Coturnix japonica: one gene and its partner. The protein of the gene in region 2 binds, or shares a complex with, the protein of the main gene of each other region. Links are inferred from orthologs where the notes say so. Each region holds a gene or a part of one and is shown on either strand. Other genes may lie near its edges.

Region 1 (15,393 bases), about 39 Mb from region 2:
CTTCCGTATCTCCATCTGTAACTCAGGCAGACAGCTCAGGGCTCAGCCCACAGCTGCACTTCCACAAAGCACTGGCCTAGTTTTCCAAAGGGTCATGGAGAAGGAAACTTCCACGCTGTAAGAGATGACATCATTGGCTGTTTGTATTACAAACAGAAGTGTCATAGAAGGAGATGTAAAAAACCAGCAGCTTATACCACTGATACTTTTTTTAACCTCAGTGGCATGGACTGCACACAGCATTGCCACAATTCTGGGTTAGTTTATTCCACCATCAGAAAAAATGGGGCAGTGCTGAGGGAGAAGGGCAATTTTGGAATGTTTTAGCCAGTCAAACATCATTCTGCCATAGGCACGAGGCACACAGGCTCCACCACATGGAGACCCCACTGCCCAGTAACCCCCAGGCAGCCCAACACATGAGCAAAGCTGGCTTCTTACAGCAGGGTTTGGCTCTGAGGACAGGGCTCCCATAAGGAGTTCCAGAGAGTAAGCTAGAATCCAGCATCCCACAGGTAAGGGCCCAACCTCAGGTTACCTGAGAATGCTTCAGTGCCAGGCTTGAGGTACTCACAGAGCCCCAAGGACACAGCCTCATGCCAACAGCAGGGTGTGAGGGGAGCTCCCGTGTTACCCCACGTACCCTAGCAACTGCTGTGCGCAGTGACTCAAAGACAACACAAGTATTTGTTGGCTTTGCCTTCCAAATGGAAGCCTTCTGTCTCGTCTCCAGCATGGCCTCATACACACGGCTCTACAGTAAAGCAGCCATAGCTGCAGCAGCAAGATGTGAGCAGGCCCCAGACTGGGCTGCAGGACACAGGCAGCAGTGCAGCCCTGCTCCTGAGGCTCAGACATACAGCAGCCACCACGGTGCTGCTGTGGAGGCAGGGCCCAGGCGCTCCAGCTTTGGGCTGCATTACAAGGAGCCCCAGTCCTCACCACCCTCCTGCCACGGTGTTATATGCCACGAGCATGTGCTACACCCCCACCAGCACCACAGCTGCTGGAACAGGCACCTCTCCTCCTGTAAACAAGTCCTTATAAGCTGTGAAGTTACTCAATATGACAGATGGTTCAGCCCTGCCATGCTGACAACATGCAGCTGTGCTTTCTTTGCATCGATGCTACTAAGTTACCAGACTTTTTCAGGGAAATAAATGGCAATTGAAGTTAGTTGGAACAGTAGCGATGTTCTAGGTAAACAATTTTCAAAACAAATCTCCCTTTTAGCAATAGCTACGCTAAGATAAACTAAAGGAAGTTTTCCCTTGTGGATGAACCCAGGCTGAACCAAGCCTCACACAAATGAAGGCCTGCTCTGCAATGAGCACAGCAAGTACTTACACTCACATATCACATTTCTGAACTAACTGTTCCTCGATGGCACATAGAAGCTTTATGTTTCTGTACCTGAAATCACAGGGAGCAGTTAGTGCTGAGTACCTTAAGGCAACATTCCTCATTTAGGAGTATTCTTAGTTGAGACATACTCCTGTTTCAATGGGAAGCCACTTCAAGCCCTTCCTCTCCACTGTGGCATTAACACCGTATGTTGAAAAGAGAAGAAAACAGCCCAGACTTTTGCATTAAAATACAAACTTTACAAGCACATAGTAAGTGTAGGCTCTTATATTTCAGTTTAAGACTATATAATTTTATAGAGTACCAAAATAAGCAAAGGATCAGCACTCCATACAAAGTGTTAGGTTCTTAGGAGGAAGGCAGAAGGGAGGTGGAACTTAATTACACTAAGATTTGCTTTGCAAGTCTAAAGAAAATTCCATTTCAGCAAAAACAGTTGGGTTTATATTTCCCATATTTCTAGTTCATTAAATAATGTTTCTTTAAAGACAACTTACATTGTTCTTGTTCAAAGTAAAGGGATGATTTAAAGCAGTATTAACAAGGAGGTGGTGCTGTTAATGTTTAATGTCAATATGCAATGTCATCTGCTATAAAGGCTAGAAGAGCAACACAACTTTATCGTTACTTTCAAGGACTATTAGAAATCGACTAACATTTGAGGAAGGTTTCAAGCACACTACACTGCCTCTAGCTCTACGCTGCTGCTGGGAAAGCCTCTGCAATCTACTGTACACTGCCAACAGGAACTCGGCACACCAGCTCCAACTCCCAGCTGCTGGCAGCAATGTTTTCACATGTACGCTGTCAGGCCAACACCAAGCAGTTGTGTTTCTTCCCTGACTCATGGCATTAAGATGCAGTAGGTTATTAGCTAACATTATCGCTACAGTATTACAAAAAGCGTAAGTCTGAACAAAACAGCAGTTAAAGCGCTCTGCTTCACTTCAGGAGTCGTTCTGTGACAACTCTCCTCTAGTCCCTGCGGTTTCCTCCTCTACTTCTTCCCTAGTTTCTATTTTACAATAAATAGATTAAGTGGATTTACATGATGCAAGTGAAACTCAGAAGACTTCTGCCCTATGCATGTAACCGTTAAGCTGTGAGATTATACATGTGACACACCTCTAACAGAGCAACCACTGGTTTAGAGTATTAAAGAAACACAAGTATTTCAGCATGTACAAAGTAATGAGTTCAGAACTGTCCGACATGGTCACTTCCATACATTCTCTTCCTCTTTATAGCGTTAAAGGGATTTTAGACCTTGATGGCAACAATCCCAAAGCAAGAGTAAAATGAATTTATTTTATTGCAAACAAACGTCTAGAGTTAAATTTCTCCACCCACTTTCTTTAAAGAGAAAAGGAATCAGCAGGCTGAGGAGATACACCCATTTGAGAATCGACATGATTAAAAATTAGATATAAAATGGGTGACTCACAGTTTCATTAGCTTACAAAATGGTGGAGTAACTACTACAAGCACACTAGGTATACAGTATTTGGTGGGGAAGTTATACAGACACACAGCTAACTTCATATAGATCCCATTAGACAACTGGATTTACAACAAGTTTTGTTTAATAAGAAATGGGCAAAGCCAGCTTCTTTTCAGAATCAAAATGCAGAACAAATGGAAAAGAAATTATGGTGGTGTACCTTCACAAGTTTGAGCCTCCACAAGTAACGCAACCAAGTTTTACAACTTTAAGAGCTTCTACATACACTCCACCTTCACTATTGAGCTCCAGGTTTCCTCTTCACCCCCAATCTCATCGAGTTCCAAATGTTACAAAAAAGTCCTAGTTTATTGCCAGAAACTTTTACCACCCCCTTCCCACCTCCCCACACAAAAGCTTTATAGAGAGGATGGAGTGTAATATGGAGCTTTACATTATATATTCATGAGGGCTACCAAGGAGCCTCCACACGAATCTGGTTGCTCGTATTTCGATCGTATTTGTGACACGACTCACGACTGTTTCTTAGAAATTGGGGTAAATGGGGGGAAAAAGGAGAAAATTCTTTAATAAAAAGACACCAGGTACAAAGCAACGTTTTACTTTTGTTGTGGTAAAAAAAAAAAAAGTCACATTTTACAGATAAAATGTAGAACCCTGAAATACTGACACATTCTCTTATCGTGCACAATGCTGAGGTTCTCTTACGAATCACTTTAAAACTGCAATTAAAAATGTACAAAAAAAAGAAAAAGAAAAAAATCAACCCACAAAGCTTCTAAAAAAGGAACCCGCAGGCACTTCCTCTTGTGGAATGTTTAAAAAGTTAGCCTACTAAAGAAAACAGTCGACTTCTTGTGAAGGTTTGGGAGAAATATGTATCAGTTCATTTATTTGGGTATTCAATAATATCCTTGGTGATAATGCTGACTCCATGGCTTCTGACCCCAGAATTGCTGCAATAAATGGATAAATAGTTAATTTAAGTTAGTTAAAATAGTTAATTAAGTTAGCACATAACACGCTTCTTAGAGAACGAGTTTTTAAACACACATTTAACTTATCCAGGAACTTGAGATTAAAATCGTCTCAAATAGCAGCAAATCCCAGAACAACTGGAGGTGGTTACGTTCATTACACAGTAGTAACAGAGCCAAATACTTCAATGCCATTAAGACCAACGCGCCATAGCTGATACTTGATATATCAAGCCAGATCAAGCTTTGCAGAACTATTTATAATATTACTTGGCATTAGAAGATTCTGCTCTCTGGTGCTGGTTACACATTAATTTCCAAGCATTCTGAAACACTTAACAGTCAAATTAAGAGGAAAAAGTTTAGTTATTACTACTTACACCCTGCTGCCACTGGTTGTAGCCCTGAGATTGGTTTTTGTAGCCACGATTATTCCCCCTTCCTCTGAAGTTCTGCAAGAGGACAACAGTTTTGAGCCACCTCATCCATGCAGACTTGGCAGAAACACAGCAACACCAGTCCTTCTACTGCCACCAAAACACGTGCCATACCCAATCTTTCAAGTATCAGTAACGGGGCTGGGTTAAATACCAAAAGCCAGCCTCAAGCAGCTGCCTCTTAAAACCTGCCTGTTTAGTGGCAGCGGTTTTACCCCAGACACAGACTACAGTTGCCAATGGTTTGGAAAGCTGGCTAATCCAGTTTTGACTCACCCTATATCCAGCTACTAAACTGCACTAGGACAACTAAAAATACTAGAGCTTGCCTATTTTTAGTTAGGGAAGATTGTAGTTGCTATGTTATCTGATCGGACAAAAGGATATGGGTCATACAACTTAAAATAGAGGAGTTAGATCACAAAACTTTAAATAAAAGCCTTTGTACAAAAGACTATCTATGATAAAATACTGCATTTCCCATTTGTGTTAGACAAACCTGAGCCATGTTTATTAGCTTGGGCTCCATCTACTGGCTCTTCAGTAATCAGAATCATATTTTCAAGTGCTTTCACTGATACTTTGTCAGTTTAAGACCAAAGCTAGCATGTCTTTCATGATTTGATACAAGATGTCAATACAAAGACTCCTTCCAGAGCAATTTCCAGAAAATTCTTTAAATGCCATCCACTTTATCTTCTGAACAGATACACTCTGCCCTTAAGGTCAAACAACAGTTACTGATACTGCAGGTTGGACAGCATGAGGGAACAAAACCACCTGTTAGTATGGCTGCTCTTATACGGACTTCTGCACAATTTGTGCAGTATCAAAACCCAACTCTAGTTAAACTCAAACAGTTGGACTATAAGCCAGACTTAAGCATAAACTGCACAGGGTAGACCCACATTCTATAAATGAAGCTCAGACTATGAAGTGCTTTACAATGGAACAGAAACTCTAAAAACCTTCAGCTTTATCAGGACTAAGATAGGCTTACTAGGAAACCACTGCATCAGCATTCACAGTTCTTACAGCTCCAGGCATGTACTCTTAGCTAGAAAGTTAAATCTTTTGCTGTGGAACTAAGTGTACCAAGCTTGCTACTATCCACAGCTAACAAGCCTGTCAACAACAGAACAGTATCCAGAGTACTGCATATCAACTAGTAACTCCTCCATGACAAGCATTACCTGGTTGTAGTTTCCCCTGTTGGGCATTCCACCTCTGTTATAATTTCCTCTGTTTGAGTAGCCACCTCTGCTAGGAAAGACAGGGCCACGAGGATAAGGATAGCCAATGGCACCGCTGCTGCCGCCACCACCGCCACCTCCACCTCCACCACGCTGTGGCATATTGCCTCCCCTCCTGTTGTATCCACCTCGATTGCCTGGGACTGCAGAGAAAAGTTTGCTCAATTCAAGTACCTGTTAGGCCTTAATTGTCTCTCACGCAGTTACAGCTTCAAACAAAGACTCTTAAAAGGTGAAAAAACGAGATGCCAAAATTCACTGCAGAAGTTCCAATGCAAACACTTCAAAATAACCTTTTATCCATGACGGCCAAGCAACATAAAGATACCAAATGCCCCCTTAATATGGCGTTCTACACAAGGAAGCACCAGATTTACTGTAAGAACTTAAAATTGTACCTCAAACTACACAAACAGCAACATTTTTTGTGAAGCTCAGTTGTAACGTGTCAGAAAATTAGCTTTGCACTAAAGGTCAAGCTATTAAAAACTTACTGGAACTGAAATCGATGATACTGTCACAGAATGGATGCAATTCAAATAGGACAAGCTTTCCTTTCTTATTTTTGCAATCCGTTATCCCCAACATTTATACACTTATTTCTAGGCTCACCTCCTCCTCTGAAGTTGCCACGCATGTTGAATCCTCCACGCCCCCTCTGCCCTCTATTAAACTGATTTTTATTGCTCTTCTTGTTTTTCTTTGAGCCAGTGTTCTGTTTCTTTTCTGGCGGAAGAGATTTCTTACTTTCTTCTTTATATTGTTCCAAGAGTTTCTGAGCTTCTTCTTTTTGCAATTCTACATAGATTATTTCATCAAAACATTCTGCTACCTCTGGCAGTGTGAAGTTCCCTATAATTGCAAAAACACTGAGTATTCAGCATCTCCATTCAGCCACAATTCAAGCTGCATTTAACCACCTTTCTCTCTCATTCTTCCTCCCACCCCCAACATTCTCTCAGCATAGGGACAAAATTACGTAATTTGAGCAGTAAAGAAAGGTAAGAGTGACAAAAGAAATAAAAGGGTCTCCATGGAGTTGCCAGTACTGTTCCAAACCTTGAAAGCATTCTGCCTATGCTTTTTTTTTTTCCCTTTATAAGCCTCCACTCAGAACATCAGTTTCTGCCAAATATGTCACTTAAATAGGGCACTTTATGCCAAGACAGCTTTGTGCATCTGCATGAAGCATATCAGCATAAATGAGTAGTGTTAAGGACTGCAGCAGAGGGAACACAATATAGTGTTGTCCTACAAGTTACAATAGTCTTCCAGTTTTGTTTAAGTACAACTGTTTAAGATAACGTAAATTTTTAGATTTCAGGTTTACTTAATCCTTTAAGCAGATATTCAGCATCCTAAAACACAGTATAGGATTATGTTCCATGCCTTTCATTTTGAGAACTGCATGCTCTGGAAGATCTTTTCCCTCCACCTCTGCCTTCTTTTGTGTTCTTTGCTTGTAGTCTTCATCTTTTGGGCAAACAACAACTGCTTTGCGCTGGAAGCCTGCAAACAGGCACATTTTTCTCCTCTGCGCAGCTGCAGACACATTTGTCTGAAAAAAATGCAGTAACTTACTACACGTAGCTGTCATTGTAAGAGTTAAGGAAGTCAACTTATGGTGTATAGACTTCACCTCTACAAGAGCTTGCATTGAAGTTTACAAATAACTGGACATAAAGAAGCTGCATAATGCAAAGTTACGAACGAGCTCATATCAAAGTGTTACACTATTCCTCCCACATCCCATAGAAGTTCAGAAAAGCATTTGCAGTAGCATCTCAACTTTGCACATTAAATCAGTAAGTGAAACAACCGCTATTAAAATATAACTTTAATCCCACTTAATTACTACATTACAGCCTATAGCAAAATTCCTTAACAATTTTTTACTGAAGTTTCTACCTGATCCAAAATGAAATTCCGCTTCTTACGAGCTGCAATCTCAATGAATTTTCCAAGACACTGTGGAGCTCGCTGCAACAGTGTGTTAAGCTTCCCAGTGTCTGCCATCTGCCTCTTAAAACCTGCAACCTATAGAAATTTGAGTTATAGTAGACTCAGTACACACAACTGATATTTTGCTCTGCTAAAGTTATTTTCAACTGGCTTCAGGGATACAAAATACATAAATACAAACTTCCGATTCAGTTTTTTTCTTTTATAAGCAAAGAATTTGTTTGAATTGATACAGCTGAATCTGAGGTGTACTTGTATTACTGACTCCAAGCTGTATTTTCTGTACTGAGGACGGAGACAAACAAATGGGTAAACATCAATTACTTCCTGATTGATATTTATTACATAAGAAATTTCAAAATCTGGCTATGCTGTGTATGAGAAGTAGCTCAGCACGGTAACATCTTTAGCACTCACAGTCAGTCAAATAACGATCACGTGTTTCTTAGATTACTTAGACTGAAGGGAATTCCCTGGCAGCCAAGGACCTTGGATTTACAGCAAGTCTTTAAATGATCAACTTACCATCATTTTGTCCATAATAGTATTCGTCCCAAGAATGTTGTACTTCCCAGGATTTGCTGCTGCGTGTTTAGTTACCCATGTAGTCTTGCCAGCTCCAGGCAATCCAATCATCATCACCACCTATTACAACACATTCCGTATTTGATGCTAGCTCACAGATATTCCTTAATAAGCAACTAAGCCTAGCAACCCTAATGGAAATCTAGTATGGAGAGAGGCACAAGCTACTCAGTATTAAATTCTTCAGACAGAAAGGTGAATTTTCTTTAACAGCTTAAAATACAACACTTGGGTTCATCTCTCCTCAACAACTTCTGAGATAACCAGGAAACTTACCTCACAATCTTTCTTTTGCTCAGGTCCTTTTGGTCCTCGAACCCTGTCTTCCAGGGGGACCTTCTGGATGAAGGTATACTCTTCGGGTACAGGAAAGTAAGGTTCATCCTTCTGACCAAAGTTGAACTCAACTGCACAGTTATGGCAGAGAACATGTGGAAAGAGTGGGCGCCCATCAAGAACTTCCTTACTAATTTTGAATGCAACACCAAGCTCTTGTCCGTTCTTGGAATACGAGAGCTCCACTTCATCACCATCAAAATTCTGTTTCACAGACAAAGCGTTAGTTTGTGTAAAAACATGCACACTGCATAAAAACACATTAATATTTCACCACACTGGCTGTATTTATATAACTTCTAATAACACCATTATAAAATGAGTAGATCCTTAAATTAGGAAACAATCTTTAAATATCAATGATCGTGCTAAGACATGATTATTCTTTTCAAAGCCTTGGAAAACATGAGAAAGGTTGACAGCAGCCACTGCTGCTTATACATGCTACTTCTACCTTCTCAGTACGCTAAATAACTTGTCTTTCTTCAAATCAACCGCTTCTCACATCAAAGCAGCCTGAAAATTAAAGGATGTTTTTCCTCAAGAGAATAACTTAAGAGAAAACTTACAGCAAAACATCCAATCACATCATTTTCATCAAACTTCTCACCAAAGTCTTCAGTCTCACAATTGCATGTCTTTATTCCCTTTAGAGAATAGCCGTAAGAAAATTCTTCTTCACCTGAACAAGAAATTTAAACTTTGTAATAATACGTATTTTCTTCTAGCTGTTCAGAAACGCAATTACTTCACAATTACTTAAATGAACTGCTGTTCTAAATGTTTTCATTGATGCCAAAACAAGTCATCACCCTCAGAATAGCTACAGCTGTTTCTTGCATTTAAGAATTCAATAGTGTCATTTAAAATGGAACAGCAGTTTTTTCCTCACCCTAACCTTAAAAGCTTTATGCTACTGGTTCCAGATTCTTGGTGACAAAATGCTGAACACTTCTAGCTAAAGACATGAGTAAGTATTCTTAAACCCTGAAAACCTGTTTGTGAATCAGTATACCTGTAATGCAGTTAGTCAGAAAGGCATTTCTGAATTAAGTCTCCAGCAGCACTTACCCCTCCCCATTTTAAAGGGAGTTTAGCAGACATTCAGCCTATGCGACAGCTGAGGATGAAGCTGCAAGGAACAAGCTAACAGCAAACGTCAAACACAAGAACTCAGATGGAATTTAAGTACGTATAACTAGAAAGTTGCTGCTATCAGAATACCCCTATTCGTACACATTTTTCAGACATATCTCATCAGCAGCTATTAGTTAAAAATACAGTAATTATCTGATCCCACTTATCTACTGAAGTTGTTTTTTGTTGTTCCAGCTGTTTAGAAATAAGACTCCCCAACTCCAAGAGAATAGTAACACAATTATCTACGAATTTTCCTTCTATGCGTAAACCTTATAATCTCAAAATCTTAAATAGTTAACCTTGTTTGGTCCCAGTACTAAACTTCCACAACATCCATTAATAACTCAAAACCCCTTTTCAAAACACACGGGCTACAATCGTTCAGTTTTACAGATGCTTTTCTGTTAGTCAGACAGGAAAATTTCAACCACAGACAATATAACACAGAAGAAAAACTTGAGGTCTTACCGAGCAACATTCCACTTGTGTTCAGCGACCAGCCAACTCGCACCTCATGTATATCAATGTCTTTTGTATACAGGTGTTTAACAGGAATCTTTTCTGTAACCTATTTTTAAATTATTCATTAAAAGTTATTGAGTGTTTTTTTCTAAGATCCCAACAAGAAAGAAGCAATGGTAACATCCAGAACCTTTATTCTCTGCTTACATCTTTACAAGTCCAAATAACAGTTTTTTTGCTTAAGTACAAGACTTAACCATGCCTGTGAAATCACAAAGCAGTCACTAAATGTTCAAATCCCTTGACTGACGGAGATGCAAAACATCACGTACCTTCAGAGCACTTAATCACAGCATTCTCTTGATAGTCAAAAATATCAACCCTCTTGATACTGCGTTAAAATTACAGCCCGCAAGGAATATAATCAATTAGAAACTCTGCTACAACATCGGGATTAACAGCGAATTGCTTTGCCAATAAAGTGTGGCATGAGATGAGAACACTTCTCCAGACAGACCCAGGGAAATACTACACCCTTTTCCAGAGAAAGCAGAGATCCCAGGCAAATTGCCAACTACCAAACAACAGAACCAGATTCAAAAACCTCGCCTGGGAGCACTGCGAGCTGGAGGCAACCAGCTCCTCTAATCGCCTTGTAGAAAATAGCATCAAATTTAAGTGGGGAAAAAAATCACAGGCCACTGGTTTCCACAAATATTTGAGTCATGTGACCAAGGGAAAGTCTGAAGAGTAACAAGACAATAAATACAATGTTTCATGTTCTTGTCCTCCCAGAGTTACAGTCACCAATGAATGGGATCACTACCAACTCATATGTGAGCAGTTAACATTTGGAAGTAGTAAAAAAGTGAACAGAATAAGCACATGTCCACACACATCTTCAGCAAATAAGGCTTTAACGCTGCTAAAAATCAAGATGTTTGACTTTGTGACTCCTGATTTTCTTCCTTGACAAGTGGGAGGAATCTGTTTCTTGTAAGGCTGATTGCCCTTTTCCATTCCAACTCAAAAGTTTGGTAAATCCAAACTTCTGTAATCTTCATGAAGTAAACACAAGTGAGCTCCCAACTACTATTCTAATTCTTTATGTTCTGGTGCATCAAGTGCCGCCTAAAATTCTCTGTTTAAAACTATGACAGTAAGTTACGTTGTCATGTCAAATGCAGCTTTATTTTCAAGTTAATTTCTTAAAGAGAGAAAGCAGTTTAGCAAATTAAGGCATCTTTCATTGAGAGCCATTTCTCTGCATCATTACATAATGCTTTCTTTAACATCTAACACTGAAATATAAACACTGTAATATTTAACACCTAAAACAGCCTCCCACAAAAATGAAAGTCTTACCTTCATCTCGAAGCAGACTTTGCCTTTAGAAACTCCATAGGAAGCTCTCCCCCCAGCCCAAAGGAAAGCAAAGCTTTCCATGGTCAGTGAGGAAGCACTAAACCGGTCTCTTGAGATTTTAAAATGCAGGTCACAGTTATCTGTTAACAAAAATTATTGCATACTTCAGTTTAAAAAACAAAAGAAAAGCAAAACAAACCCACAAAAAAGAAAAGCTAAACACCAACAAAGCAAAACTTTCTCATTTCATGCATTAAAAGTGACTCCAGTTTTCTAAGGTGATTTTAAGCTGCCATTTGGTAAAGGCAGGAGGACAACTGGACACATGCCAAAGAACTGAGGTAAATGCAACTAACAACAAACATGATTTGCATGGTGCCATCTTCCACTACTAAGTTCCCAAGCTTTAATAAATACTTGGCTTCCATCTCACCTATTTCAACCTTTTTTGTCAGTTATCCAATGCAGTGTATCTGGAAGATGCATGCTGCTCTCAGAGCTACTTGCTAGATTCCTTTTTGTCAAGCCTTACCCCTAATGTCTGAAAGCACTAAGTACAAACACGGGTATTTCTGTTTAAGTACTGGAAGTAGTACCATCTTCAGGAGATATACAGTCCTTTAGCCAAGTCCAATTAGATTAAGCCAATAAAATAAAGTCAGTTAAGTGCAGATAAGCACACAGCACATGGTAAGTGAGCTCATTTCGTGTAAAAACAAAAACCCAAACCAATCATGATCTGCAGCATGAACTCAACATCCTGACAAAACCCTAGGAGCCTTAAATGGAACCTCTGTTATATAGACATCTTCGGGACTGCTGCACTGTAAAGTCTCAGATTTATCTTCCAGTAGCTTTCAAAATGACAACACAAAGTGGGAACGTGAAGTGCAGGATATGGCACTTGAATCCCCCAGAGTAAGGAATCCACAGAAGAAACTCTGAACCTATTTGACAGTTACAAGAAAGGTGTGAAATTAGCAACCAGAGTATCTTCCGCCTTAGCAGAAAGTCTACATGATGCCCGCACATATTAAACTGCAGTTGTCCCTGTATTACTGGTAATTCTCAAACAGGAGATCTTGTTTGCACAAAGCCATCTGTGGCTATAGTTAGGACTTAAGCATTCCCATTAATACTTCTAGTTGTAGCAGGAAAGCCAAACAAAAGCAATCTGCAGAATAAAACAGTGTAGGTTACTTTTAAAGCAACACACAACAATTTCTAGCCAAAATGTTCTTCTAAGACACAAGAAGCACTTAAGAGCACTAAACCTCTTATACATGGATTGTCATAGTCAAGAGAGCCAAGCTGTTATACAATTCACTCTTTAAAGCTGTGCTTGATGGGGTGCTCCCAACAGCCTGCTGACACTTTCAGTTACTGTTTGTGGGTAACAGAAATTTCTACTAGATACAATAATCAGAAGTAGCTACCAGTCAGTTATTGGGAGAGTTAAGGACTCCCACAAAGATGGCTACTCACCACGTTGGAAGATAATGGCATATTCAGCAAAATACGTGGCTGTAAACTAATGCCTCCTTCCATTTCAAAACATTTCTCAGGAAGAAAAAACCTGAAACTACTAGCAAATATGCCAAATGAAGCCAAAACTTAAGGTCGCATTTCATGGAATTTAAAGAATCTGACAAGTTAATGCATTACCTTAAGTTTTAAATTCTACAGTAACAACTGATACTTACCCATAAGAACACAGGTTTTTACCCTGGTCATGGTATATCACAGCAGTACTTACACAAACCACCTCCAACTCTCAGAATACACGAATGGGTCATTTAGTTTTTTTCCCAGCAGACTTAAGCTGATTGTTAATTTGTCAGAAAACAGCAGAAGAAACCCCAAACTTGTTGATACATCAATAAGGCTTCAGTGAGTTATGCAGGAATCTCAGTCCAGGCGTTTTACTACCATAGCTATCTACTATTGGTTCTTTAAGTGAGAAGCTGATGTGCTGTTATCAGTTCCTCAGGTTGTTTCAAGCATCACCTATACATACTGAACACTCAGTCAGTTTTGCCATATGCAACTCTACCATTTCAGTTAGGATTTCTTCAGCAAATTAGCACATCACATACTTCCAGGTAAAAATTTAGCTGAATATTGTTAATATGAAGACTAATATACCTTTTGTATGCTAAAACGCAAGGATCAAACATTTCTATGTTGTCTGGTAATGCAAATCACCAAACAGTTTAACCCCGTATTTCTGAAATGTGGGGCTTTAAGCTTAAAGACAGTTTGGTATCCCTGCAGACCAAAGGAAAGCATGGCTACTCACAGGTATCGAGACACACCACTGTGTCATCAAAGTGTTCATCTTCTTCTTCAACAGGTGGTTGAGGGGACTTGGCCCTAAGAAGAAAACAGTGAAGAATGAAGCCAGGCGCTCTTCCAATGTAAGAGGAAACGCTTTTTTAGAGTAAGCCCATCTTACCTCTCCTCACTCATACAATGGTGCCCAGCATTGAAAGCTTATTTACCTGCTGTACTTATTTTCTTCAATGTATTCAAAATATCCACGGCCGTGGTCTTCACGTGGTCTCTTGACACCCCTCTTTTTCTCACCGGGTTTTTGTTCTGTTTTGCCATCTCCTGTAACAAAACCGATGACTTTAACACCACGGAATAACTCTTTAGTCGGAAATAAAACCCAAAATATATAAACCCAAATAAAACCCAAAATAAACCCAATAAAACCCAAACAATAGCAGCTCACGGCAGAATCCCGTTTTTCACTACAATAACAACATCATGGTTTCGAGTTTTCCCTGCGCACTCCAAACCCATCCGCTAAACCAGCGATGCACCGCGATGCCGAGCGAAAGCCCGTCCCTCTGGGTGCGCTGCGCGGACACAAAGCGCTGCGGCTCCGCCCGTCCCGCAGCCCGCCGGCTCCACGCCGCTCGCAGGGCCCCGTGGCGCCGAGCACTACGGCGCCGCCTCTCGGCCGCCGAGCGCGGCGGGCTGTGGTTGCGGGGCCGCCCTGCCGCCCGCGGGGCAGGGATTCCGCCTCCGCCCGCCTCCATTGTACCGAGCCTTCCCAGCGCCATCCCGAGGAGCCCCGGCCGGAGGTGACGTCAGGCGGCCCGGCGCCGCTCAGCACAATACAGCGCGCCCCAGCGGCCCCTCGGTGCCCGCCCCTCCCCTTACCTCCCCCCCCCCCCCCCCCCCCCCCCCCCCCCCCCCCCCCCCCCCCCGGTCCCTTCCCCGCCCCCGCTTCCCCCGCCCCGCGCCCGTCCCGCTCCCCAGACCCCCCGCCCCGGCCTCGAGGGGACCACGCGGCACGGGGGCGGTAGAAGCCCCCTCCCCCAGCCCTCCTCGCTCTCCGTCTCCCCCGGGGGAGGCGCCCGCTCGCGGCCCGCAAAGCTCCGTGCGGCCCGTTGCCCCGCTCCTCGCGGCCGAGGTGGAGGATTAACGGCTCCCTCCCCCCCCTTTCCCGCCGCGCACACTCACCCGCAGCCGCCTGGGCCCCGGGGCGGCCTCCTCCGCCGCCACCTTCCGCTTTCTTCTGCTGCTGCTGCTGCTTGGCGGGGCCGGCCGGGCCGGTGGATGCGGCCGCCGCGGGTCCCGATGCGCCGGCAGCGCTCTTGCCCGGGGCCTCCTTGGCGGCGGCGCGCGGCGCGGGCTGCTGCTGGGCGGGCTGCTGGGCCTGGGGCTGCCGCTCCCCGTGCCCGTTGGCGTCCCCGGCCGCGGCCTCCTCCTCGTCGGCCAGCTCGTCCTCCCCCTCCTGGAAGCCCTGATCGTCTCCGTTCTCATCCTCCTCCTCCTCCTCTTCCTCCTCCTCGCCGCCCGCCTCCTCTTCCATCGGGCCGCCCCCGGCCCCCGCCCGCTCGCCGTTCTCTTCTCCCAGCTCCATGGCGTCGCCGTCGGCGGCCTCCAGCCCTTCCTCGTCGTCGTCGTCCGCCGCCGAAGCCGCGGCCTGCTCGAGGCCTCCCCCCTGGCGGAGCTGCGCGGCGCCGCCGCCGCTCTCGGCCGCCTCCCCCTCCACGCTGCCGTTGCCGGGCTCGGCCGCGCCGCCGGCTGGGCCC
Region 2 (15,393 bases):
ATGCATCGATTACTCATTTCACCATCATTCACTTACTTTGTCTTTAAGTTCAAAACTGGCAAGGCACATTTACATATTCCAATGAATACTTGACAATTTTAAATTACACTTCATGTCCCAGCTATCCCAGTAATTGACATACAACATACTAAAATGGTTTATTAAGATAACAAAACAAAAACAAAAAAAAAAACAAAAAAAAAATTACTGTGAAACATACAGGCTATTGGCAACCACTATTCTAAAAATGATGTAAATACAAGTAAACATACTGAAATGTGTGCGATTCTAAGTTTGTAACCAGAAGATCTCTGTACTAACACACATTTATATTAATGACACATAAAAAAAATAAAAACTTTATTACAAAAATAAGTTACACTCGCCTCCAGCTTACAGTATAAAACAATTTTATTTGCAGGAATGCAAAATGATTGTTTGCCATGAGCATTTTCAACATATGACATGTCTAATTTTGTTAAAATTTGCATTTACTGGGGGGAACTGGTGTGTATAAAACCTTAATTAGGTATAAGCTTCAATTTTCATTGTGGTGCCTATGGGTATGTAGTATAACTGCAGTATCCCTTTGGGCAGGGGGTTAAGGGAAGCTCTTTATGCCAAGTCCAACGCAGGTCATAATTTTAAACTATCTTTTACCTATACGAAGTTGGACTTGGCAAAGTTGGTGTTTTTTTAGTTATTTTATTTTTTGTGGTTTTTTTTTTCTTTTCTTTTCCTTAGGGGTGGTTCAATAGAGGATGCTTCACCACTGAACACTCACTGTCATCAAGGTGCTTCAGAAAATTAAAAACGTAGCACAAATGATTGTACTCTACTCTACTCTACAGGTTATCATGATCTGCATAAGAGAAATGGAAAGCTGATCCACGTGTTTTTACAGTGATCAGCAATAAGAAATGCACTAATGAAAACATACCTTTTACCTAAAAAGCTAAACTACAGCCATATACTATTCTATGATTTATGAAAAAACTTCAAAATATCCAAATGTCAGGCTTCACTGTACAGTTGTCAGTTTTAGTCTGACCTTTTATAAAGGGACACTGCAGTATTTAGTACAAGTTGCTGATGCACTTTTTTGAACATCTGATGTCTTACAAAAGTAACATCTTGCTAAACTATTATACATCCAAATAACTACAATATCTGAAGAAGCAAGGCTGCTTTTTCAGCCACAAAATACGACAAAAGCAAGGCCTGTTATGATGGTCATGAGGAAGTCTTACAAAGCCTCTGGAACTAAAGGCAACTAAGAATGTTACATTTGGTATATTATAATCTTACCCTCATATCATATTAAACAAGCCTTGCTTTTATCTACAAAGATTTTCTATGTACAGTACAGACAGGGTATAGTTCAATCCTCTGCTACTGAGGTAGTTAACCAACCCTTTAAAAAAGGTTCTGAAAAGAACCACTATCTGGAATGCCTGACTAACCAGCTCTGATGATTACACCTGAAACTGCTGTATCTGAACACAATTCATAAGTGATTACTATATAAACAATCATGATTAACCTTCATGAGCAGAAATAAAATTTAAGGATACCAACGATGGTATTCATCTATACCACTGCAATAACAATTTCAATGCAAGAATTTATGAATACCACTTTCGGAATCCTTAACTAAGAAAACTTGGGGGAAAAATCTACTTAAAGCAGATTTTTTAAAGAACAACTTTATTCTTTATTAAGATACCATGCTAGACGTTAAGGATTTTGTTGAACACATTGGGGAAATAGAGTAGCTTTAGTTTAATAACTTGCACTGCAGAGAAAACTGTTAAAGAAATTCATTTCAAAGTCCAAGTATTAGTTCAAATGTCCCATATTTGAATCCATGATCTTCGCAGGAAGGTCTTTTGCAACAGAATATGCTCCTATACAGCTGAGATACTTAAGGTTGCTTGATTTCCTTACCATTACTCCACTGCAAGCTTCTGGTGTAATCCCACATAGCAAGTCAGTCTTCATTGTAACAGGTCAGGACCGGCCTCGACCCCTTTTCCCTGCTAGCCAGGTAACAAAAGGAATCAATTAGATAAATCATTTTAAACTCTGGTCTGTACATTTGTTAACATAAAATCTTAGCAAAACGAATTACTTTAAAAGAAAACTACTAGGTGAACATTTTGCCTTCTGCTTGCCACTAACTTTGCAATTTCGCTAGGAGTGTTTTACCACTTTGTCACAAACTGATTTTATTTAAAAAGTTAAGGTTTAAACCTTGTTATCACCAGCTAAGGTTTTGCGCACTAAGTCACAAACAACTTTACATTATAGAAAAGTCCCAATAACAGTAATATAAAACTCTGCGGTTGCAGTCATCATGAAAACATGTTGAAAATTGAATCAAGTCTAAGCATAATGTGACTTGTGATCTAGTTTGAATTTCAGCAACCTAACTGCTTTAGGCATAACTTTAAAAAGAAAAAGATCACATCTTTGCTCAGGTGCAATCCTTCCTTTTTTTAATGCTTTTTCTTTTTTTTTTTTTGTTATTTAATATAGAGTTTGGAATCTAAGAGAGCAGTGCCAAAATGAAAAAATACCTAGCAACCATTTTCAAGGCAGTTTTCAAGACGACTCATTGAGCTGAAAAGCACCACTGAAGAAACAGACTAAAAAAGTCTCTATATATTATATCAGGGCTCTAAACCTCACCCATCGTTTTTAATGCATATTTCATAGATATGTACATACATATGCGCGCGCACCTGCTTGGAAATAAATGGGGCAAAGTTTAAACAGACGTATGGAGGTTTAAAGAGGATTTAACAGACAAGTCATTTGGTAATTTCCAACATTCATGCTTTTCCAATACCTCCACTAATTTCTACCTGTTTCTAGTCTCATGTATTAAACAGGTTTCCACAGTCTACTTAAATTCAAGCATTTCGGTTTCACTACCAGCAAAATAGAACCAAATTATAGCTCTGAATTCATTTACTTGAAAGAGAAACTGTAAAAGCTACGTTAACTTGTTTTGGCCAAAACTGACCTTGAAACGCTAAAGAAAAATTTCTGCAGGATTGACAATTCTAAGCTGCCTCTTTACAGCTTGTTACGTAAACAATTGTTTCAAATTAAATACTTACCAACTTAACTTACTACATGAACTACTTTAGCATTTGGTGGGAACATGAAGTCTGTTGCAAACTAGCACTTTTCAACCAGGAGCAGAAAACTGCAGTAAGTCCGTGTTGTGTAATGTGCCAGACATATTCCACACAACAGCGACAAGGCACAAAACCCTTTAATTGGCCTTGACATGCTACACAATTTGAACCAAATTTGCAGTAAAATTTGTCAAAAACGAATTGTAAACACAATTTTAGTAAGTGTACACTTAGGTGTGAATTTTTATTGAAGTAACAACAGCATAAAGAATACAGGTAGCCAAAATGGTTTTGAAAAAACCAAATTAGGTCAAAGTTCTAAATTAAAAAAAAAAGCAATTGTGTATCAATTTACCTTTTCTAGCAATTTAAGTTGGTAACATACAAATAGTTACTCTGATACAAGTTATTAAAGACACTCAGATTTTATCAACTACCTTTCATAGACACCAAGACTATATACTATTGGAAACATAGCATACACTACAGCCAAATAGACTTGAGCCAAATTTTCCCAAGCAGTAATGCAAACTCAACTATTATTATTATTATTTTTTTTTGTAATACCTAAGAATGCCTTTATTGAAAAATAAAATAAAAAATAAAATCAGTTCGCCAGAAGCAGTTAGAAGTGTGGCTTTGTTCACGTCCAAGCGGATTGTTAAAATATATACATAAAGGGCATCTTGCCAGATGTCACAAATTATAGCGGCAACCGTTCAGATTTAGGGCCAGTTTCTGATCAACCTATCAGTCTCTAATTTTTACAGAAGCCCTACTGTTCTATTTCCACTGTTGCCCAAAAGAATCCTGATAAAATTCCTGGTTGTCATTATTGTAACCATAGTTACCGGCATAGTCACCACCTTGCTGGAGCGGTTGCTGAGCAATGGGTTGGGAGCCCCAGTTCTGATTATTGGTCTGGCGCCGCTTGGAATCTGGCTGGTTGTACCCATCAGCTTTGCGCTTTCCTCCTACATTTCCACCGCGGCCACCCCTCGCACCACGTACCCCGCGGCCTCTTTGTTGCTGGGCACCTCCTCTCGCACCACGAACGCCTCTTGCTGATCCAGGACCACCTCTCTGTGCATAACCGGCTCTGCCACGGGGAGGAGCAGCCCCGCGACCTCTGGATGGAGCAGCACCCCTTGCTCCTCTACCACCCCTTCCTCTAGCTCCAACTTGAAAATCTTCATAACCATAGTAAGGATCTTCATATCCACCACGATAGTTATGGTAGTCATAGCCATAATAATCGTAATAATCTTCATATCCGTAATAGTCAGGGGGATATCCATAACCACCTCTGCCTCCTCGGCCTCGACCTCTTGTTGGAGGGGGCATATGAGGTGGACCGTAATAGTAGTAATCATCATACCTAGAAAAAAGGAAACAGACGACATGGATTTCGAAGGAACTACTACTAAGCAACCGCGCACATAATATTCTTCTACTTCAAGAATGACTACTTCGTGACAGGTAGCTATTATCACGACAGGTTGATTTCTACAAAGCACTTCTGCCTTCTGCATTAGGAAAAACCTTAATATTAAGGAACTTGATTATCAGTGACATTTCTTCTATGAATGCAATACTTAACGCCTAAGGTAATCATCTACTTCTGCCCCTACCACACAGAAAATTTCCTCTCATTAAGTAAGTACTACGCAACGAAACTCTGCCCTCGTTTAGGAGCAGCAGACCAAGCAAACTGAAACCTAATCCTCTCACGCTATTATTATTAAAATGCATATTTATATGACTGTCTCATCAACTCCTATGTAACATTACCACTATTCTACCTGCCCACACCCCTCAACTCTCCAATCGTTGGAGTGCTTCTCCCCTTTAAATAGTCAACTTCTCTTCCAAGTAGCAATGCATTCAGATGCCTTTTACACCTGCCCACATTATCAATGATCGCTAAGACCTTTAATATTGCCTTCCAATCCAGACCTTTCTGCCGCTATGGAACCTTACAATCACCACCAGGTTTCAGCCGGAATTCTGCTATCTTCTTACTAACTGTTCATACTTTAAGTACCAAAGGGTACTCATTCCATTAGAGATGCAGATGTGTCGCTCTCCAACATCACTGTGATTTTTATGTGTATTTATTTCCTAATGAAGTCCCTATTGTCAAGACTTTTGAACTGTTCCCTTCAAACCTAGGATGGAGCCAACTTACTAATCATCGCAAACTTTATGATCTCATTCACATTCTTTCTCCCTCAAATATAATAATACCACTAACGCAACTCATGCATTAAAAAGTTCTACCCCGACAATCACGATGGCTTTCAAACAGGAAAAGACTGATTCAAAATGCACTTTCCTCACTAGAAAGTCCCTTATATGCACTAAGCACAAAATGCATGAACCAGATTGAATCTACAGCCATGCGCAAGTTTCCAGAAGAAAGTCAGAAGCGTTTTTACAACCATGGAGTACAAACTCCAAGTTACCTCTTAGACCTTAGGATGTCATTTCAAACTTCTCATGTAACTACAATACAGACTTAATAACATTCATATCCCTCTACTCCCTTTTTAGAACCCTAAGAAAATCAAAAGCCCTTACAATTCTCAATTCACTCATTAATAGTATAACCAAAATTCAAATAAGCCCGGAGCTTAATGAGTCTAACTTCCCTTCCTAACTAACTTTCCTACTTCAGATGCCTCAATAGTTCCTAAAAGTAAAGGAATATAGAAAATTCCCAAATGAAAGAACTGGAAAGAGGGACTGAATGACTGAAAGTACCGTAACTCTGACTAGAGAAAAAACAAGAGAGGAAACCCTGCTTCACCTACATCCACAAATTTAGACACGAGCTTCTTAAAGGGGGCAGGGGAAATAACATACACATACATTATTATGTTCTTCTTAGAGTTGTTACACAGCAAGAAGACATCCTGTGTTCTAAATACATGTGCAATATCCAGAAGTAGCAATACTGGATGTCAGATCACAGACAAAGAACAGTTAGGGGCAGGGGAATGGAAGTCATAGAGCATTATAGCTGGTCAAACACCCCCTATGAAAATCTTCCTTTCCACTGCCAGAAACAAACCATTACCAGATCCTGAATAAAGAGCTGGAAAATCAGAAGTCTACTGCCATGTTAAGACTTCTTATTACTCAAATTCATCCAGAGAAAACTTATCTCCAACCAGAGACAACTACCCTTATTGACCACACAGACAACTGCCTTCCTTAAGGAGTCGTACAACGTTCAGTAGCAATTTATATTACAATTAATCAAGTATTCACTGTGCTACTGCCAAGACAAAGTGTACAAAGAAAGAAGATGCATAATCAAACAAAATAAGCAGAACAGAAAAGGCATGGCACAGAATACAAGCACAAGAATAGTGAGATCAACTCCTTTCAGTAATGGGAAAGAACAAAAGGGCCAAGAAAGTTACAAGACCTATAAGCAGGGCAAACTTAAGCAGTTCCATGCGTACGTTAGGTCACTATCTGGAGATCTGCAGTAATCTGGTAACCCCACCATCCTGTCTTCTCATTTGCTGCGCAGCAGCAGTGGCAGAAGTTATTTTTGGAAATACAGGGGGGGAGGGAAGGTGGTTAGGAAAGTTACAAGATACCCAAGAAGATAAATACATGAGAACATTAAGCAGAACACAGTGACATGAAATGTATTTTTTGCCATGTTAAGCATTCAAGAGAGTGAGATCTTGATGAGTTTATAAGTTTCATAAACAGATGTGTCTTCTGGAAGTTGCAAAAACTTATACCAGGATCCTCCTTTCAGGGGTGGCCATATCAATTCTCCTAAGACTGCTAGAAGGAGCACATGTCACTAAATACATCCATCTGACAGACCAGTGCAGAAATACATGAAGCTTAAGAACAAGAAGTGAAGAACCCACACGTTTCCTCTGGTGCTCATACACCCTTTGAGCAGAACAGTAACTGAATTCTCAACTAACACCACGAGATCTTACATAAAACACAAACACATCCAACATTTTAAGAGAAGCTGAAGAACCTATGTGCACTATGATACACTTACTAACTACCTAGAAGTTCTAGTTCTTAAGATCATACATGTCTTTCAGAAGTAATACAACACATGTGCATGCATTTACACTTACATCTGATTTTTAGCCGCTTGTCTCTGAGCTTTCCGTTCTTTCCTTTTTTGATCTGGTGGCTTAGCAAAAACAATTTCAATGTTTTCTCCCTCTAAATCTTTGCCATTCATTTCTTCCATTGCCTGAAGGAATTAACCAGACTTTAAATATACTTCTAAGCATATCTGGAGTTATTAATTTTATTCTATCCTTTAGAATATGCATTTTAAATGTTGTTATCCACAGCTAAAACAACAATTTAAACCTAAAGAAGAGAATTAGACAGCACAATATTATGGGTTTCAGACAGTTATGCATTTCCTCTTAACTTGACTCTGAAACCCAAGACTGCATGTATTAGTTTAAAAATCTTCCACTCAAAACTCTGAATAGACCTCAAATCCTTTCAAGTTGTTTCAATTAATGAAGTGGCAGAACTGCTTTCTGAAAAGACACTAAGGAAAACTTTGCAGTAAGGCAATATATTTCTACTGTCAGCATAAATACAAACACTACTAAGACTAAAAAATCAGTGTGGTTTTGTGCTTTTACACGTTAATTTGTTTCTTTTTTAAAGCCAAAAAGTAACAGTCTCATTCTCAATTAAGGAAGTTTCAGTAATTGCTAAAAGTTCACTTCAAGCAGAGGAATCCTGAAGATTCTACAGCTTTTAAGGATTCTACATAGCCAAGCCTCAACAGGATGTGTATCCTGTGAGAAGACTCTTTCAATCATCTTCCTAAGCATCTGCTTCAAGACATTTGGATGAACAAGAAAAGCTAAATCCCCCTGTATCCTGTATCCTCCCACAGGACATTAAAATAATAATAATAAAAAAAAATAGACTACAGGCAGGAGAGGAAATGCACTTTCCCTTCCTAACAACAGATGACCAGAGAAAAGACCAGGCTAACAAAATCCGGGGGTGACAATTCCTCAGTTGTCCTGAACCTCCTGTCAAAAAGAAAAGGTGCTTATTCTACACCATAAAAAATGAAGTTGCTCAGCTCCTAGAAAATAGGTTTTTACCTAAATGAATCTTGCTTGTCTTAGAGAAATGACTTTAGCGTCTACTGAAAATTCATTGAGAAGTCATTCAACTTCTGGCACTTTCTATTTCAAATTACAGGTATGATTATCTTAGATACTCATCAGAGAATTACTCAGGATACATGCACCTAAGATGCAGTCTTTCAAGCTAACAAACGCTTTGGTGTTTTTTTTATAGGAGATTCCCAGAGATGAATGTTTACAGCAAAAACCCTTAGCACTCCTCCACAGTTAGAAGAAATACATCATCTAAACTATATATTTAGTAACTGTTTTCACACCTGCACGAGCATGCACACACAAGTACAACTCTCTCCACGTACCTTTACAGCACCGTCCCGTTCATCAAAGTGAATGAAAGCGTAGTCTTTTAGCTTCTTCACTCGCTCTAGCTTTCCAAACTGACTGAAGGCCTTTTCTAGTATCTCCTCTGTTACAGTGTTGGCAAGATTGCGGACAAATAGAACTTTTACCTGGAAAACAAATTAGTTAAGATTTAGAAGTGTGATCCAAAAGACAAAATAAAGCTTTGCAAGTTGTTACTATTGGGAGCACTGAAAATATCCTTTAAATGTAGTGTTTAATGTATGTAGATATGGAAATTTATACGCTCCTATAAGCACAAGTTGGCTGCAAACATCCCTCGCTGCTAAAAATATGAGATCCATTTTCAAACATGATTACATAGCACTAGCATCCTGAAAGTCAACAGCGTTTTTGTTAATCTTTAAAAGAATCCCAGCAGCTCTAATTTTCAACTCAGGAACACCTTCAAACTTGAAAGAAGGCAAGCGAGATTGGTTACACACAAAATAATTAACTTATCAAAACATCCCATTGTTCAGACAGGTTTCTGCAGAACAGTCATCACTGTAATATCTAGGTCAGAGGTGACAGGCCTGCAGCTCTCAAGCTGCTTAACTTGTGGCTCCCAAGCTACAGCTACACCAAATACTAGAGCAGCAGGACTGTGCTTGCCTGAGAAACACTCAGTGAGCTGAATCCACATCCAGAAGAGGGAAGAAACACAGAACGGGACATTGAGGCTGACACTGCCAGGCCACTCTTGGACTTCCACAGGTCAAGCTGAGCCCTTCGTTTAAGAAAACAGCCACCTCCAACCAACTGAAAACCTGTTTCCTCCCCACATTAGCACTGCACTAAATGAACTGTGCATTATCACTACCTTTGCACGACATCACCCATGAGTTCTCTCTTGCATTCTGGGAGTCCCTTTCAGATGCTGCCATTGTGTCCCGAAGTTACAGTGCTACTTTCCTACAGTGCAGCTGCAACCTCTGTCCACACCCTCCCCCACTACCGATGGTGATAAAAGCAAGCAAACGTGCTCTATGACAGTATTTGACTTCCCATTTCCAATCCTAAAGGTCAACACAAGTAACATAGGCTACAAAGGAACCAAAGAAAGCATGCTTCAACTTTCTGAAGTGAAACTATAACCCCTGCTCCTACAAAGTATAGGAATTTAGAACACCCAAACATCTAATTGTATGTATAATACATAATTACTATGTGTATGACCATGTAATTAGGTTACTAATAAACAGAACAGACTTCTATAAATCCTCGTCTCACTAGATGGCAGAGTTAGGATGGGATGAAAGGACACTGCAGACCATAAATCTGATCTAGATAATCAACTTCAGCCTTTGGCAATAGCTACCCTGGAAGATTCTCGGGGGATGAAAGAAGTTGCAGCCAGCTCCACAAGGAAAGCTTCTTCCTGTCCCATGTTAACATTTGTCAACGAGCCTTCCTAGCACAAGCAAGATATCTTAACCATGCCTTAATTAAAAAAGTGAACTACAAATGTTTTGCCACGTAACTGCCTGCTTTTAGAACTGGTATCTTTCACACCAATGTTGCTTATTCTTGTGCTTTAAGAAGGGATAAAATCAGAGACGGTTCTCACAAGACTCCTAAGTAGCCTTCAACAGTAAGACCACAGCAGCTGACATTCTCTGTGTCAGATATGATTACAAACCATATAGATTATAATCTTTATTTCTTAGTACAAACTGCTCTAATGTGACACTTTCAAAAACACAAATAGTTTAAATTTTCTTTTGTGCAGTTGGATACATTGATCTCTAACACCTTTGTTGTTCTTACAGGTGAAATGCGTATCTGAACCAATCAACACAGAATCACAGAACTGTAGGGGTTGGAATGGACCTCTAGAGATCATTGAGTCCAGTCCCCCTGCCAAAGCAGGCTCCCTACACCACGTTGCACATGTAGGCATCCAGTCGGGTCTTGAATATCTCCAGAGGAGGGTCCACCACCTCCCTGGGCAGCCTGTTCCAGTGCTCTGTCACCCTCACCATAAAGAAGTTCTTCCACACATTCGTGCAGAACTTCCTATGCTGTACTTTCATCCCATTACCCCTAGTCCTGTCCCCACGCACTACTGAAAAGAGACCAGCCTCACCACTATGGCCCCCACACCTCAGGTATTTATAAACCTGGATCAAGTCCCCTCTCAGCCTTCTTTTCTCAAGGCTAAACAGACCCAGTTCCCTAAGTCTCTCCTCACAGGGGAGATGCTCCAGGCCCTTTACCATCTTAGTGGCCCTCCGCTGGACTCTTTCCAAGACATCCCTGTCTTTTTTGTACTGGGGAGCCCAGAACTGGACACAATATTCCAGATGAGGCCTCACCAGGGCAGAGTAGAGGGGGGAGGACACAGGTGTCAATGCTAAGAGAAAAACTGAAGCATGGGCTGAGTGATGATGAAATCACTTTTATTTCATTTAAGCTGAAGAGGTTTCAAGAAAAAACGCAGTTGGTTAAGGCTCAGAGGTTGTAACCAAGAATTCACCAATACACATCTAACAACAAATATACCCTGCTATTCGGCATGCAAATGCACAGCAGCATTGTGTAATAAATGCAGGACCCACTTGTGAACTGCTCAAGATTGAACTACCCCCAGAAAGTCTGAATCTGGTCCTTTTCCTCCTCCTACCTACAGCACAAGCACTTCAAACTCTGTTACTACATTCTCCAGGGGTTAGTATCCCTATTTCCTGCCCTATCATCTACCACACAGCCATGAGAACCAGACTTTATTTAGCTACTTAAGCTGCCAATCCAGCACATGCTCTGTACCCACAACCACGCTACAGAAATAATTTAAAACATGAGCAGCATCAAAATGCTGCTTAGGAGAAAACTATCAGCACAACTACTTAAAAGTTATAAAAAAGCTTTTTTGCTAGGTATTTCAAACATCACTTTCATACCCTGGCTAATTCAAGGTAAATCTGCCTTCAACACCATTTGCTCTTATGGACTTTATTTTCTAGTAGTTTGGATGAGAAAACTGCAGATCAAATAATTGCCCTGATAAAAGCAACCTTCTACTCTTACAGCACTCCTCCCAGAGCCTTCTACCAAAGGAAGCATACAAGAGTCAAGCACTCTCCCTTTGCTCATGAAGGGCAGTGGCTGGGAACACCGATAACCAACCTGTAGTTACAGAATCACAGAATTGTAGGGGTTGTGAGGGACCTCTAGAGATCATCGAGTCCAACCCCCCTGCCAAAGCAGGCTCCCTACACAAACCCTACACGGTTCCCACTTAAATATAAAGTAACACAAGGTATTGAAAGGGTGACACCTTAAAAAAATTATACGGGACAAAACACTACCAAGTTTTAATTTCTTCAGTCTTCCATTCCTTACACTTGCAAGTTTACCACAGAAAGACACTGATAGGGACTGATGTCCCTTCCACCTCCCACTTAACTATGTGACCAAGTCATCAGAGGTTCTTTAGTTTAACAGTATGTTGGATTAGGATGGCTCTCTTTTGAGCCAAGAAATTCAGACAGAGATGCAGGAAGTGCCACTCTCAACAGATTCTTTCCTGTTGCTGATCAACTACAATACATAGCAAGAAAAACAAAGCCTGAAAACAGGGTACTCCAAAATGCTTCTGCAATGCCCTTACTACAAAAGCAGATTATTTTTTTCCCCTAAAAGTGAGCCCCTGCTCCAGCCCTTTTTTCTTATGGACCAGCAAAGAGGAGATTCTCAGCCAAGTCATCTTACTAGGCCCAACAAAGCAAGACTCCAGCAAGTGATTTGTCTCAGGTGAAAATAAAAGCACGGGCAAAAAGCAAGTGAAGAGATGAGGATAAGAGCTAGCTATGAGTTTCTATCAAACAACCCAGCTACACAACAGAACTGAAAACAACAGACTTGGACATTATCTGATGGGAAGAAAAAAAATCAGGCAATCAATTCCTATGGCAAAATATCATATGTATAATGGAAGTGTTGCAGTGTACTTCACAATGTTTAGAGTTCAGACTTAAGCTTAACTGAAATACTCAAAATCCAGTCATAACATTTTAAGGAATTAACACTCTGCCAAAGTAATGAAGAAAGGAAAAAAAAAAATACATAGTTCAAAGTACAAAATAATTGGTCATCTTCTCAAAAGCTATTGCTACATCTCTGAAAAGTCCAATCTGCACATCTTAAATGTTTCACTTCTTAAGTTATAAACATGCATTTCCAGGGTTACAAATCATTCAGGCTTGTTCTCTGACCATAGCCAAATTTCTGTGCAATCAAATCCTAAACTACAAAAGCTATTTGTGTTTTTGGAGTCACTACATCCACTTCCAGAGGAGAAATTAAGTACACCAGCAGATGGACCAATTCTTCCTTGGGAGAATGAGATAACATCAGACAGTAGTTATTTAAAAATTCACATCTATATTCAAGAAGACTGACAGATGTTATTTAAACCTGGGCTAATATCAGGAAATACTTACTCTGGAACAAGGTATTTTAATTCTACTACGTTTCTCTTACAGCTTTATTACCTTTGCCATGACTTCAGGATCTGGGTCTTCTATAGGGTCGGCCCATTCAACTGTAACAACATTTCCCCAGACTTTCACTTTGCCGCTCATTAACCTACGTCTGGCTTGAGCAGCAGTTTTGTGATCTTCATATTCAAGAAAACAGAAACCCCGGTTCTTTTTCTTGTCATCAGGCTGATGATACAATATAACATCTGTAAGGCCCTCTGAAATTAAGCAAAGAATTTATTTGTTATAGCTTTAGTCTATGACTTGATGTTCACAAGTAGAGATTATGTTTCTGGGAAGTACACATCTAACTAGTGGTTCCAAAAAGCATGATCATGCTGGACTTTTGAGCCTATGAACATATTAAAGTTTCCACACTTTCAAGAGCAACATCTCCAAAAGGATGTTAGTCTATCCCAGCTTAGCAACCCTTTTATTAAGTGAGGAAAGCTTAGAAACTATGGAAGAATACCTTTCTTCTCACTGACCAGAGGAGAGAGGGCAGCCATAAAGTTGCATTTTGTAACTCCTCTCAAACCCCTATGTCACAACACTTATCAGCATGTGCTTTTTCCATGGATGTCCAAAGAACAGAAGGTTAAACTTGCATGATTTCAATACTTCTAAATTGTTTCAGTGTTGCTCCAGGAAACCTTAAGTACAGCATTCAGTAACAGAAACCATACAACATTACCTTTTCAAGTCTATATGCTATTAACAAAAATAGATCCTTATCAGAACGCTAGCAATTCTGAAGCACAAAACTAGTTATGTTCTCCAATCTGCTTCAGTTCTGTCTTGAAAAGTTTCTGAAATACCTGTTAGCACTGAAAGAATTAAACCACACGTTTGTTTGAATGGCCTTTCTAAACATTACACGTGTCTCAGTAAAACTGGACCTACACACCAAGTCTAATTACAGATTTCAGCCCTTGGCACAGTACATTAAACAACAACCCATAAATCCCCAAAGTCAAGGGAAATGCTGAGTCCTATCAGTCATCATCATTCAACAAGATAAAGATGGCAGAAAGTTCATTACTGATCACATCCGACACTTCCCAGCTCAATACAACAGTTACTGCGTTACCTGTTACTTTGCTGAATTCTTCAACAATTTGCTCCTTGGTTTTACTCTTAGGGATGGAACCAACAAAAAGTCTATTATTGGCAACAGAGATGCATACACCGATGTGTTTCCCAGAGCGAATTTCGTGATTGTTGTACTGAAAAAAAAACCACAGATAACCATTAGTTGGATAACTTTCATCTCCAACAGCAGCACTATCAAATACTTCACTTCTAAAAGTGTAACACCTAGTAACGTGGTATGTTCTTTGACATTTAGAACATTCTTATGAGATATACTCAATTACTTTGCACTATAACTGTGTTCCCTAGACTGCCTTCATGCAACAGCCAACAACTACCTTTGGTTTTTGTTCAAGCCTGTTTCTTAATACAAGTTTCTTTAGATTTTTTGTGGAACTATGAAAAGTTACGATTATGTCCAGCTCACAATGGGCAAGGGTAAGTAATCCTTTCACAGCAGCACAGAAAGAAACTCAAGTTCCTCTACAGATTGCATCTGTGAATTCTTAAACTGAATTGTGTATAACAGAAGACAGGTGTTGCAATTAAAGTCAGATTCCCTTCCAAAAGTCTGTAGTTCACAAAAGACAGACGGCCACGATCAGGTCTTCTCCGCAAAGCATGCAAGAGCAATAGCTGAATTCTTTCCAAAGCATGTAGATTACACACAGACAATAAGCAGCAGAACCTTCCACTGCTTTGAAATCCTAAGATTTCTGTTCAAATGCCTCTCCCAAAACACGCAGCCTGAACATATCAGCCGTTCAAGAGGAAAAATATACACCACTGCAGGCAACTGCTGACAAAGAAAGTGCCTTTCACTAGGATGCAGACAGACATGTATCATCCAAATAAGCAGCAAGGAGGTCAAATGGTGGCACATCAACGCTTTTCCAATTGCAAGCCCAGCAACAGGCAGTTCTTCAGCTGGGAAAATGTGTTTTGTGGTCAGTGTTTTATTGACAAGCAGTAGAGTAGCATTTCAAAATTCAACCCAGCTATTTAATCTAGCAAGTGGTTCTGTGCCTGGTGGCACACTTTCCCACATATGCAAAGTCTTCCACACCCCCTTCCTGTTCAATGCACTAAAAATGAGGGTGAAGATGTACAATTATTTAGACATACATGTAGGAAAAAAAACCAAAAAACCCTGTGTAA

Evidence for each region.
Region 1: SYNCRIP (region 2) and HNRNPU share a complex: the UniProt entries of both Homo sapiens proteins name them as parts of the coding region determinant (CRD)-mediated complex. The link is inferred for Coturnix japonica from reciprocal best matches to the Homo sapiens genes SYNCRIP and HNRNPU.

What each region holds. Positions count from the first base shown.
Region 1 is NC_029518.1:31,196,793-31,212,185, reverse strand, and holds the end of HNRNPU (heterogeneous nuclear ribonucleoprotein U), read right to left. Parts: coding exon 14,819-15,393; intron 13,958-14,818; coding exon 13,846-13,957; intron 13,718-13,845; coding exon 13,644-13,717; intron 11,485-13,643; coding exon 11,345-11,484; intron 10,086-11,344; coding exon 9,986-10,085; intron 9,060-9,985; coding exon 8,947-9,059; intron 8,582-8,946; coding exon 8,318-8,581; intron 8,102-8,317; coding exon 7,982-8,101; intron 7,532-7,981; coding exon 7,403-7,531; intron 7,053-7,402; coding exon 6,884-7,052; intron 6,347-6,883; coding exon 6,107-6,346; intron 5,638-6,106; coding exon 5,435-5,637; intron 4,257-5,434; coding exon 4,185-4,256; intron 3,784-4,184; coding exon 3,730-3,783; 3' UTR 1,915-3,729; downstream 1-1,914. UniProt on the Homo sapiens protein: DNA- and RNA-binding protein involved in several cellular processes such as nuclear chromatin organization, telomere-length regulation, transcription, mRNA alternative splicing and stability, Xist-mediated transcriptional silencing and mitotic cell progression.
Region 2 is NC_029518.1:70,025,083-70,040,475, reverse strand, and holds the end of SYNCRIP (heterogeneous nuclear ribonucleoprotein Q), read right to left. Parts: intron 14,370-15,393; coding exon 14,234-14,369; intron 13,362-14,233; coding exon 13,156-13,361; intron 8,770-13,155; coding exon 8,620-8,769; intron 7,390-8,619; coding exon 7,268-7,389; intron 4,525-7,267; coding exon 3,930-4,524; 3' UTR 2,664-3,929; downstream 1-2,663. UniProt on the Homo sapiens protein: Heterogenous nuclear ribonucleoprotein (hnRNP) implicated in mRNA processing mechanisms. Component of the CRD-mediated complex that promotes MYC mRNA stability.